Cricetulus griseus: one gene and its partner. The protein of the gene in region 1 interacts with the protein of each later gene in a biochemical or structural test. Links are inferred from orthologs where the notes say so. Each region holds a gene or a part of one and is shown in the gene's direction. Other genes may lie near its edges.

Region 1 (5,775 bases):
AAAGTGCTGGAACATTAGTTCCAGCTTAGTTATTGTGTTGGTCAGTCTCCTATGTCCTTAATTATTTACAAGTCCATTTGATCTGTCTATACAATAAACATCGTGAGTTAAAACTTCTGCTGCAATTGTCCACTTCCTGGTGTCTTTGTATTTCTAACAGCAGTGGCTCCATATATTTTGAAACTGAACTGCTTGGTGCATAAATATTGTGATCATTCTCTCTTGTGGTTTCTGAAATGACTATTGTGTTCTCTTAGACGCTTTTTACTTTGAATTCTTTATTTGTATATTAGCATCGCTACTTTTAATGGTGCAAGCTTGATAACCTAGAAAGTTCAAGGTAAACCTGAGCTACATACATAATGAGACCTTGTCTGACAATGACTATAACAATCCCTATGCACATTCCACTCCACCCCCCAAAAAAAGGAAGGAAAAAAGAAATGCTCCAATTTTTGTTTTGTTTTGAGACCCTGGCTGTCCTGGAAGTCTCTATATAGACCAGACTGTCCTGGAAAAAAAACATAAATCCTCTTGCCTCTGGAGGGATGGGGTCAAAAGCATGAGCTACCATGTAGAGTGAATTTGATTTTATGTAGTTAATAGTCCATACTACACACTGTTAAGTGTTGTTTTCTCTTTCTACACACTTTGTTCTTGCTCACCCTCTCGTTTTTTGTTTGTTTGTTGGGTTGTTTTTTTTTTTTTTTGCCCTTTTTTGGATTTTGCCCCCTCAGGGTCACACAGTATTCTTTTAATAGGAAATACCCATACTGTTTGTATTGTCACCCTTGAAGGGTTTTTGTTTTGTTCTACTACACGTTGTATTTCTCCTGAGAGCAAATCTTTGCTACTACTGTGAACTCAAGAACTCTACATTGATCTGAGTATCTATCCATGTAATTCAAAGAGTTCAGGAAGGGTTTATCTGTGACTTACTTTGTTTTGTTTATTTTTCAGAGACTGGGTTTCTCTGTGTAGTCCTGGCTGCCCTGGAACTGGCTTTGTAGACCAGGTTGTCTTCAAACTCAGAGGTCTGCCTGCTTCTGTGTGCTGGGTTTAAAGACATGGGCCACCACACTCGGCCATTTGTTTGTTTGTTTGGTTGGTTTTGGTTTGTCGAATCAGGGTTTCTGTGTGGCTTTGGAGGCTGTCCTGGAACTAGCTCTTGTAGACCAGGCTGGTCTCCAAAACACAGAGATCCACCTGCCTCTGCCTCCCAAGTGCCAGGATTAAAGGTGTGCGCCACCATCGCCCAGCCCATCTCTGACATTTTAAAATGTGTTGCAATTCACAAAATGTGAACCTGTGTTGCATGTAATGTAATGGATAGACAAGCCTGGTTTTGTGACGACAGTACTATATTTCACTGCAAACATCTTCGGTTTGCCTCAGACACCAGGCTTAAAAAAATTGATGTTTCTACTGCAACTCTAAATACCGCTATAGATTTTAATATCCACAGAAAAACCATAGCATGTAACATAGGATGTGATATAGTAATATAATTAACTATAATGTTAGAATTAATCAGAATGTTCAGATTTCAGTTTATTAAAGAAAGCAACTGAAGGAAGGTGACAAACGTTTAACATTTGTTAGAACTGTTACAGTTCTTGCTGCCTTTGTGTTTGTGTGTGTGTCCCTGAAAAAGCTGAGCGTTTCAAACGAAATAACGCTTTCGAGCCCACCCGGATTTGCAGAGGGCAGTAGCCCGCCCCCGCCACATCAAGGGGGCGGACTCGCGCTGACGTCACGGCCACTTCCGCCGCCGCAGTCCCCGCCTGCCCTAGTGCTCTTTAGCGGGGGAGGAGCCGAGACCCGGAGCAGCAGCGGTGGTGGTGGTGGCGACCGAAGGTCCATCGGCTCTGCAGCTCTGAGCACGCGACTGGCCGGGAAGGTGAGTGCAAGGCAGCCTGCTGTAGTAGCCCGGACAGGTGGGCGAGCCTTGCCGGATGGGCATGGGCAGAATTCCAATGACCCCTTTGCGGGTTTATCTTGGGAGCGGGGTGGGGCAGAGGGGACTTGACCACATGCCGAGGCCTGTGGCCTCATTGGGGACCGCATCCCTTGCTGCCCAGCTCCTGCCTAGCCTTATGGCCCTAGCCCGAATGGCCTTCATGGCTGTCGGAGAGAGGTCTGGTGGTCGCGGCCCTCTGCCACTCCTACCTGTCTCTCCTTGCAATGCTCTTGGCGTCTTTGAGAGCACTCTATAGCCTTTCTTCACCCATTTCGCTGCTGTTATGTATAATGGCACAGGGCTAAGATTTTTAGCTACAAAATATGTGCTCAATAAAATAATTACTAAAAGATAAACAGTATTCTGAGGGAAAATCAGGATTCCTACACGAAACCTTTTTCTTTCTTTTGGCCTGCCACATTGATTTGGGTTTGCCCTTTGAGCTAAGGACGTATTCCTGTCTCTTATTATGACATTGCACCCCCTCCTCTGTGTCGCACGCACGCGCGTGCGCGTACACGGGCACACGCACAGGCACACACAAACCTCCTTTGCAGTCTGGTCCCTGTCCCTGCATCCTCAAGGTTTCCGAGAGCTCCTCTGCGCATGTGCAAACAGGCAAGCACACACACCCTCTCTCACACCCTCTAGTTCCTTCCTCTCCCCTCACCTACCTCCTATCTCTAGAATCTTCCCTGTCCTTCTCCTCTGACCCGTGTTTGAGAGTGTATTCTCCCTCCCTCCCTCCCCCCACCCTCCCCTACCCCCTTCTCCCTCACCCTCTCTCTCTCTCATCCCCCCTCCCTCCCTGTCCCTCTCTCTCTCTCCTTCCCCTCCCCCTCCCCCTCTCTGAAAAATGGCCTCCCTGTTCATGTCTGCTATACACACACATCTAAAGACATCTTCATCCTTCTGTTGCTTTCCTTACATACATGTACACATAGGAAGCTGGCTCACACACTCTTCTCAAATGTTCTTTTCTCCTCTGTTCCATACTTCACCTTCACACACAAATCCTCTGGGGACAGTACCCCCTTTCCTGTTTGCCATACTAACATATTCTAGCATTCTTTAGTTGCTGGCCTCTGTATTCCATCCGCCACATACATCCTCTGTGCTTTTTTTCTGCCCCTTGTTGCCTCCCATATTGACTTTTATACACTTTCCTCATTGCTACCAATACCCTTTCACTTCCTTGCCTGTGGAATGCAGGCTTCCCTCTATAGTTCCAGCTGCCACACTTAACAGGAGCACTGCCTCTTCTCTTCTCTCATACTCACAGCCTTCCCCTCTAAAACTGCCCCACCCATTCTTGTCATTCCCACCCCCTACAGAAATCCCTGCATTGCAGGATTGCTGGCCCCTTATCCACCTGTCTCTCTCCTGACAGACACTGCACTTGTGCACGCATACACAGTGAACTATATTTTCAGTTCTGTTCTAAATTGTATTTCTTCTCAATATCTGCAGTTCTCAGAAAACTACATCTCCCCTTTCCCCCCAAAAAATCCAAGCTCACAGCGGGCTTTACTCTTCCCATATTTCCACAGCACATCTACATTCTAAGCATTCAATCACCGCCCCCCCACACACATGCTCTCTCACACACACATACACACATACTCTCTCCCTCTCTCTCACACACACACATTTTCACACACACACATACTCTTTCACACACACATTCTGTCTTATTCCCCACCTTTCTTGTGAACTCAGTCCTGTAATCATTTTGCAAACACTAAAAATGTGTTTCAGGTCTACACCAGTCACAGGAATGCTACCTCAGGCCTTAAAAGACAGTGAAACTAATTTTAAAGGGCCCCTATCTCTCTCTTACCTGCCTACTGAAGGAAAACTAGATCTCCTTATTCTGTAGTTCTGACCTGGGAGCAAGAGCCTTTGCACCTGCATCCCAGCTCTGGTGGAATCTCAGAGTCAGCCATGGGTCAGGAATCTAGCAAGCCTGTTCGGCCCAAACCAGCAGGAGGGTATCGGTCCAATGCAGTCAGGAGTTATGGAAGGAGACATGCTTATGTCAGTTTCAGGCGGTCCACAAGCCATCAGGAAAGGATTGCCAGCCAGAGAAGGACAACATCCGAAGTCCCAATGCACAGATCAGCCCCCAATCACACCAAGAGGAGCCGGTCACCATTTGCCAGCACACGACGTCGTTGGGATGACAGAGAGAGCTCTGGAACCAGCCTGAATGTTGAGAATGGGGATTATCCCAGGTATCCTCCAAGAGAGTACAGGGCCTCCGGGAGCCGAAGAGGATTGGCTTATGGACATATTGGCACTCTGAGGGCACGTGATAGTGAGGAGGAGGGGGCTGGGCCTGTTGACAGACTGCCAGTGAGAGGGAAAACTGGCAAGTTTAAGCATGATCCAGAGAAGGGGGCAAGAGCTCCCCGCTTCTCTAGTGTTAACCATGATGTGAAAGAGGGGCTTGGCAAGGTAGAACCCCCTCCTGCTGCAAGGTGCTCTGCTAGCAGAGCTGAGTTCTTGAAGCAAAGTGGTATGGCCTCTCAGATGTCCTCTGCTGAAGGCAGGGCAGTTGCAAGGGGTAACAACAGCTTGGAGAGGGAGAGGCAGAATTTATTAGCACGTCCTAGCAGGGCTCCTGTGAGTATGTGTGGTGGTGGTGGGGAAAACTCCCCAAAGAGTGCAGAGGAGCCGGTGGTAAGGCCAAAAGTCCGGAATGTGGCGACTCCAAACTGCATGAAACCAAAAATATTTTTTGATACTGATGATGATGATGATGTAGTACCACAGAGTACTCCCAGGTGGAGAGATGCTGCCAGTGCTGATGCTGGCGAAGCCCATGCAGAGGGCCTAGCAAGAAGAGCCCGAGGTGAGGGTGCAGGCAGCTCCTCTGAGCCAAAGTATCCTGAAGACAAGAAGGATAACAGGAATGGGCAGGTGAAACCAGAGAAAGTGTCAAGACGGCGACGCACCATGGCTGACTCTGACTTCTGGGCATATACTGATGACTACTACAGATACTATGAAGAAGATTCTGACAGTGACAAAGAATGGATGGCTGCTCTGCGCAGGAAGTATCGAAATCGGGAACAACCCCAGTCTTCCAGTGGGGAAAACTGGGAGCCTCTGCCAGTAAAGGAAGAACCGGAACCTCAGCAAGCTTGTGAGAGTGTGAACGCCAGCGGAGCTGGGAGCCTTGCCAGTACCAGTGTTGGCAGCAATGGAAGTGGCTATCCTGAAGAAGTGCAAGAACCGTCTCTTCAGGAAGAGCAGGCCTCCCTGGAAGAAGGAGAAATTCCTTGGCTCCGGTACAATGAGAATGAAAGCAGCAGTGAAGCGGATAATGAGTCCGGCCATGAGATGATGCAGCCTGGGATGTTCGTGCTGGATGGAAACAACAACCTGGAAGATGACTCCAGTGTGAGCGAAGACCTAGAAGTGGACTGGAGCCTATTTGATGGCTTTGCAGATGGGTTGGGAGTGGCAGAAGCCATCTCCTATGTGGATCCTCAGTTCCTCACCTACATGGCTCTCGAAGAGCGCCTGGCCCAGGCGATGGAGACTGCCCTTGCGCACCTGGAGTCTCTCGCCGTTGATGTCGAGGTGGCTAACCCACCTGCAAGCAAGGAGAGCATTGATGCGCTTCCTGAGATCCTGGTCACTGAAGATCATGGTGCAGTGGGCCAAGAAATGTGCTGTCCCATCTGCTGCAGTGAATATGTGAAGGGTGAGGTGGCAACTGAGCTCCCGTGCCACCACTATTTCCATAAGCCATGTGTGTCCATCTGGCTTCAGAAGTCCGGCACCTGCCCAGTGTGCCGCTGCATGTT
Region 2 (5,766 bases), about 4.5 Mb from region 1:
ATAATATTTCAACCCTTAACGATGCATATAAACTGTTCCCGTAATGAGTATGTATTATGTGTCTGCATATGACAAAAACAAATAAGTGAATTTATCAAGCAAAAAAATCCTTTCAACTTTCTGCTTTTAGCAATGTGGTATACTGTGTGATTTATTCATTCATCAACAATTACTCATTGAAAATATAAAATGTACTAGGCATTGTTCCTCATGCTGAGGATACAACAACAACGAATACAACAGACAACAGTCCATCTCCCTAAAGAAGCCCCCGTTCTAATATGGCAAAAAAGAGTATAACTAAAGGAAATACTGGTGAGGAGGATATATACAAGAGAATAAATTTGGTAATAATAATTTTGAGACTTTTAAGAGATATTCAGCTGGAGAAGGGAGGGAGCAGTAGGTGAGGAGTATGAAAGTTTTAATCTGCGTCATGACTGAAGACACAGACATGGAAGCAGATAATACATAAAATGGCACCTCAACCTCCTTTCCCGAGTCTGGTCACGTCCCACTGCAGACGCTCTACAGAGGAAGTGCTGAGGAAAAACAGGCAGCTGACAGAGGAGGTTGCTATGCAACAGATGAGGGAAGTCATCCAGCCTGGCAGAATTGATGTCGGCCCTTGGGGACTAAATGCTGCAGTCCTTCCTAGCATTAGCTTTCTTTCATATGCAGGCTCCTTGCTGACGCCAGAATAAATGGGAAACGCGCTAAAATCTGCCTTGGATTTTGGGAACCTATGGGTTTGGTTTGAGTCACTTCGTATCTGTATGTCATTTTTTCTGCGTTTGTCTCTTCAGCCATCTTGGAAGCACAGCAGGCTGTGTGTCCTTGGACAGGGCCCCCTTTCTGTGATTCTTATTTTGGGTAGTCAGTAAACCAGGCTTACCAAAGTTGACTAAAGTGACTATATTCTCAGGGGCTCACATAACCAGGGACAGATAGTCCCGACACTAATCACGCAATTCTAAAGCCCAGCCGAGGTTCATTCTGCAAGAACAGAACAGACACACCTGACTGCTCCGGCCTCAAGCAAGCATCATCAAGTCCTGGGGTCTCACTCTGGGCAAGTGCCTGCCAACGGGAGTACAGAGTGAACCTGAAGGGTTCCCACATATACTAGGCCTCTTAGAACACAGGCTTTGTCCACTTGGAACAAATATTGGGGAGAGGAAAGATTGTCATTTCAATGAAAAATTAAGGGGTGTCTTGATTCTCAGACCAGCACTAATAGCTATATAGATTTTGCAGTCAGGAAAATCCGCACCCCACCCCCCCGCCCCGCCCCATGTTTGGTTTTTGGATAAAGTCTCAGCGTTGTGCACCTGGCCTGGAACTCGTGGCTTTCCTCACTCAGTCTCCAGAGTGCTGGGATTACCAGTGTGCACCACTGTGCTGTGCCAAATTTTGCCCTCTCTGTTTGTTACTTGCTCAGTGCCCTGGTTCATACAGTGGGTTTATGATTTAGCTACCTGGTATGCAAAATGAAGATGTTGCCCTCCATCAATCTTCTAGGGCTGATGTTCGAGAAAAACCAGCTCCAGGACAGATCCCACTGCCCTTATGCCTTTCCCTCCCCTCTCTGGCCCACACCTCATGAAATGTTTCCATGGCAAAACTGCAAATAAATAAATAAATAAATAAATAAATAAATAAATAAATAAATAAAAAGAAAACGGGGTGGGGAGGGCGGCAAGAGAAAAGCTCATTTTCTGAGTCTGGTCAGAGGAAATCTACCCCCTGGCTGGCACTTGCTTTGCTACCTCCTGGAATGTATCCCCCCCAAGGCCGACCTTTAAGGTTCCTGCGTTGCAAAGTGGGTGAACTCAGCAGAGGCCTAGCTTGCAGCGAACTAAGAGACCCCCCGCAGAGGCCTACCTAAGAGGCCCTAAGCAAGGGGTGGGAGGTACTTGCAGGCCTGGCTAGAGAGTCCTGGGTGGGGGGGGAAGGGAGGGACTGAGGAGAGACGCATTGCGGATAAAGGTAGGGGGCTGGTGTGTTGGGCAAGGGGGTGGGACCAAAAGGCGCTGCGCATCTGTTGGAGGAGTGGGTGCGTAAGAAGAAGGGGAGGAACCTTCGTACACTGTCAACCTGGTTGGCGGTGGGATAGTGTGTTGGCAAAGAGGCGGGATCTCCTCCAAGTGCACATGCGCGACAAGGTCTCTAGGATGAAGCTTTTGTTGGGAAAGCAAGCGGGACTCTTATTTGGACAGTTAGCTATTGCGCATGCGCGAGGCTTCCTGAGGCGGTGGGTGGTATATTAGGCGAAGAGGCGGGGTCGCCCGAGCTGCCGCGCTGGCATTTTCTCCTGGACAAGGAGAGAGTGCGGCTGCTGAGAGCCGAGCACAGCAATCCTGATCCTCTGAGTCGTGAAGAAGGGAGACAGCAAGGGGGTTGGGGTTGGGGCCTGAGGCAAGGTGAGATTAGCCCCCAGACTGGGCATCTGCCCCCTGGTGTGGCATCCTTCCCCCATTCTTTTATCCCAATCCCTTTACCCTGGATTCAGAAACCCCCTCCACTACCCGATCCCTGATTCTTACCCCCCCCCCCATCTAATTTAGAACCCCGTTCATTCTCTGAATCCTTATCCCATTCCTTCACAGAATCCTCAAATTTCTCGACCTTGATCCGTTATAGATTCCTTTTGATTGAGAACCTCAATCCAACTTTCCAGAAGCGAATTTTTCCCCCTCGCTCTCCCCCGCCCCCCGAAAACTGCCGCATTCAGAGCTCTTATCAGATTCCAGAACGCGGATTTGAAGCTTTTCCCTATCGGGTTCTGGAATTTTTAAATTGCCCATCAGGATGCTCATTTACTTTTCCCGCTCTGATTAGGCTTGTTTCTCCCCTTATCCAGCACCTCACCCGCCCCCAGCATCAAACCACACACGCACACACAATTCGGCCCTACGTATTTTCCTTCTGTAGTGTAATGCCTAGTTCCTCTCCCACACCCCCCTAGGCTCTGCTCTTGCCAGAGACACAAGAGCTATGGCTCAGAAACCGGACGGCGGTGCAGGCCTCCGCGGCTACCAGGTGAGATCCCCGCTCCCCATTCCTCCATTTTCCCTGCTGACAGATTACGCGCACCCCCCGGCCCCTTTGGTGGCACAAATGGCAGGCTCTGATTTTGCCCTTCTTCCGGCCTAGACTCCGCTGGCTCTCAAATGTCTAGCGTTTATCGAATGGGGGGAGGGGCGTCCCTTTTCAGCCATCGGTCCCTGCTTAGAGAAAGGGGAGACCCTGTTAGTCAGGGCATTCTGCCCAGAGAATGCGGGTTGGGTAAGGAACCATTTTTTTTTCCATAACCCTGACGCGTGTAGAGCAGTCTGTCGCCCCATCCCCCAACCTCTCGCCTCCACCCTCCCTTTCTCCACGCCGCGAGACTCCCCCTCCACCCTCCCTGCTTATCCTCCGCGATTCCTCCCTCCTCCTCCTCGGGTCTTGAGCTCCCCACCGCAAGCCTAACCAGTCCGGCTCTGAACCTGTTTGGGGTCAGTGGTTGCACCACGGTTCCTCACCAGTCCCTGCTGCCTCTGACTGCCCTCACCTTGTCCTGCCCCCTCTATTCTTAACCAAATTTTGTTCCCACCCCGCCTCCCTTTGACCCTTCTGTGCCCCCAGATCTGTGAACTGCGATGCGTGTCTACAGCTCCCCTGCTGCGTATGCCCCTCCTTCTGATCTGGCTTGTAAGGCCCAGAGGTTGAAATTCCCCCTCCTGTATTTGCAGGCTGAGGCCTCTGTAGAAGACAGCGCCTTGCTTGTGCAGACCTTGATGGAAGCCATCCAGATCTCCGAGGCTCCACCCACCAACCAGGCCACAGCAGCTGCCAGTGGGCAGAATGTTAGTCCCCAGAGTTCACAGCCCCCAACTGCCAATCAGGTGGCTGATACTGGGGTTTCAACAGCAGCTGCTAGGCCTAAGACAGGCTTTAGAGCCCAGAATACCTTCTCAAAGGGTCCAAATGATTTCTCTCACGCACGTAATGCCAAGGAGATGTCCAAGAACCAGTCTAAGGCGGCCTATAAGTCACATAATGGCACCTCTAAAGGGCCAAATGCTGCCTCTAATTTTTCCCACGGAGCAACCACAGGCAAATCAGCAGCTAAAAAGTCTGAAATAGCCTTTAAGGTCCAGAATACCACTACTAAGGCAGGCCCTGGTGCCACCTACAATTTCTCTCAGTCTCCCAGTGCCAATGAGATGATCAACAACCAGCCTAAGACAGCTACTAAGGCTTGGAATGATACCACTAAGGTCCCTGCAGCTGATGCCCAGATCCAGAATGTAAACCAGGCCAAAATGGCTAATGTAGGGACCAGCCCAGGTATCTCTGAAACTGGTGGTGCAGCTGCACAGACCTCAGCCGATGGCTCCCAGGCTCAGAATGTGGAGTCTCGGACTATAATTCGGGGCAAGAGGACCCGCAAGGTGAGATCCCTCCTAGCTTTACTTAGCTCCAAACAAAATAAAGGGCGCATATACCTGTATTGGGGCTAGGTTTTAGGGGGTGTTGAGGTAAATGTTTATTCCTGACCCCTGATTGTCCACAGGTTGATGGTGAGTTTATACAAGGACAGATAATCTGGATCACCGTACCACCTGTGTATAGGTCATTTTACATTTTGACAGTAAACACCATGGGTGAGGTCGTAAGCTAGGCTGGCTCACACCAAATTATCATTGAAGCTTCACCTCACTAGCTAGAGAAAACACAGGATGAAATGAGATGGCTTGAATTCAGGATGATAGCAGTAGTCACACAGGAAAAGGAGAAGCCCTAGTCCCCACTTTATGGTTGTTCTTGGTCTGGTTTGGACATGAATCTCCCACCTGAAAGACAATGAAAAATAAACATAAAGTGACCGATGACTAGTGAAGGGTCAGAATGTCCTTATAGGTGGAAAATTCATAGGAACTTCCTAGATTAGCTGCTGGGAGGACCAAGGATTAATAGTGACTCTGGAATTTTCTTTTCTCTTACGATGCAGATTAATAACTTGAATGTGGAAGAGAACAGCAGTGGGGATCAAAGGCGGGCCTCACTAGCTTCAGGGAACTGGAGGTCTGCTCCAGTTCCGGTGACCACTCAGAACCCACCTGGCGCACCCCCCAATGTGCTGTGGCAGACCCCACTGGCTTGGCAGAACCCATCAGGCTGGCAAAACCAGACAGCCAGGCAGGCCCAACCAGCACGTCAGAATCCCCCAGCTAGGCAGACAGCAACAGCTTGGCAGAACCCAGTTGCATGGCAGAATCCAGTGATCTGGCCTAACCCAGTGATCTGGCAGAATCCAGTGATCTGGCCAAACCCCATTGTCTGGCCTGGTCCAATTGTGTGGCCAAACCCAATGGCCTGGCAGAATGCACCTGGATGGCAGACCCCACCTAGTTGGCAGGCTCCACCCAGTTGGCAGGGCCCTCAAGATTGGCAAGGCCCTCCAGATTGGCAGATACCCCCTGATTGGTCATTGCCCCCTGACTGGTCATTTTCCACTGACTGGCCTTTTCCACCTGACTGGATCCCTGCCGATTGGCCGATTCCACCTGACTGGCAGAACTTACGACCCTCACCTAATCTGAGATCCACCCCAAACGCCCGTGCCTCACAGAACCAGGGTGCTCCCCAGCCCCGAGATGTGGCCCTTCTTCAGGAAAGAGTAAGTGCTGGATCTCTTCACTTATTTTCTCTTGTCCTTCTCTTGTAGTCAGCCAAGTTTCCTGCAAACATAATTTTAATTCTTTCTTTCTCCCCAGG

What was found.
Region 2: the proteins of Pja1 (region 1) and Maged1 form a complex in vitro, tested with the Homo sapiens proteins (2 studies listed by BioGRID, with this or other methods). The link is inferred for Cricetulus griseus from reciprocal best matches to the Homo sapiens genes PJA1 and MAGED1.

The regions. Positions count from the first base shown.
Region 1 is NC_048604.1:70,903,108-70,908,882, forward strand, and holds the start of Pja1 (E3 ubiquitin-protein ligase Praja-1), read left to right. Parts: upstream 1-1,802; 5' UTR 1,803-1,900; intron 1,901-3,839; 5' UTR 3,840-3,904; coding exon 3,905-5,775. UniProt on the Homo sapiens protein: Has E2-dependent E3 ubiquitin-protein ligase activity. Ubiquitinates MAGED1 antigen leading to its subsequent degradation by proteasome. May be involved in protein sorting.
Region 2 is NC_048604.1:75,450,712-75,456,477, forward strand, and holds the start of Maged1 (melanoma-associated antigen D1), read left to right. Parts: upstream 1-2,257; 5' UTR 2,258-2,423; intron 2,424-2,968; 5' UTR 2,969-2,997; coding exon 2,998-3,042; intron 3,043-3,737; coding exon 3,738-4,439; intron 4,440-4,999; coding exon 5,000-5,668; intron 5,669-5,765; coding exon 5,766-5,766. UniProt on the Homo sapiens protein: Involved in the apoptotic response after nerve growth factor (NGF) binding in neuronal cells. Inhibits cell cycle progression, and facilitates NGFR-mediated apoptosis. May act as a regulator of the function of DLX family members.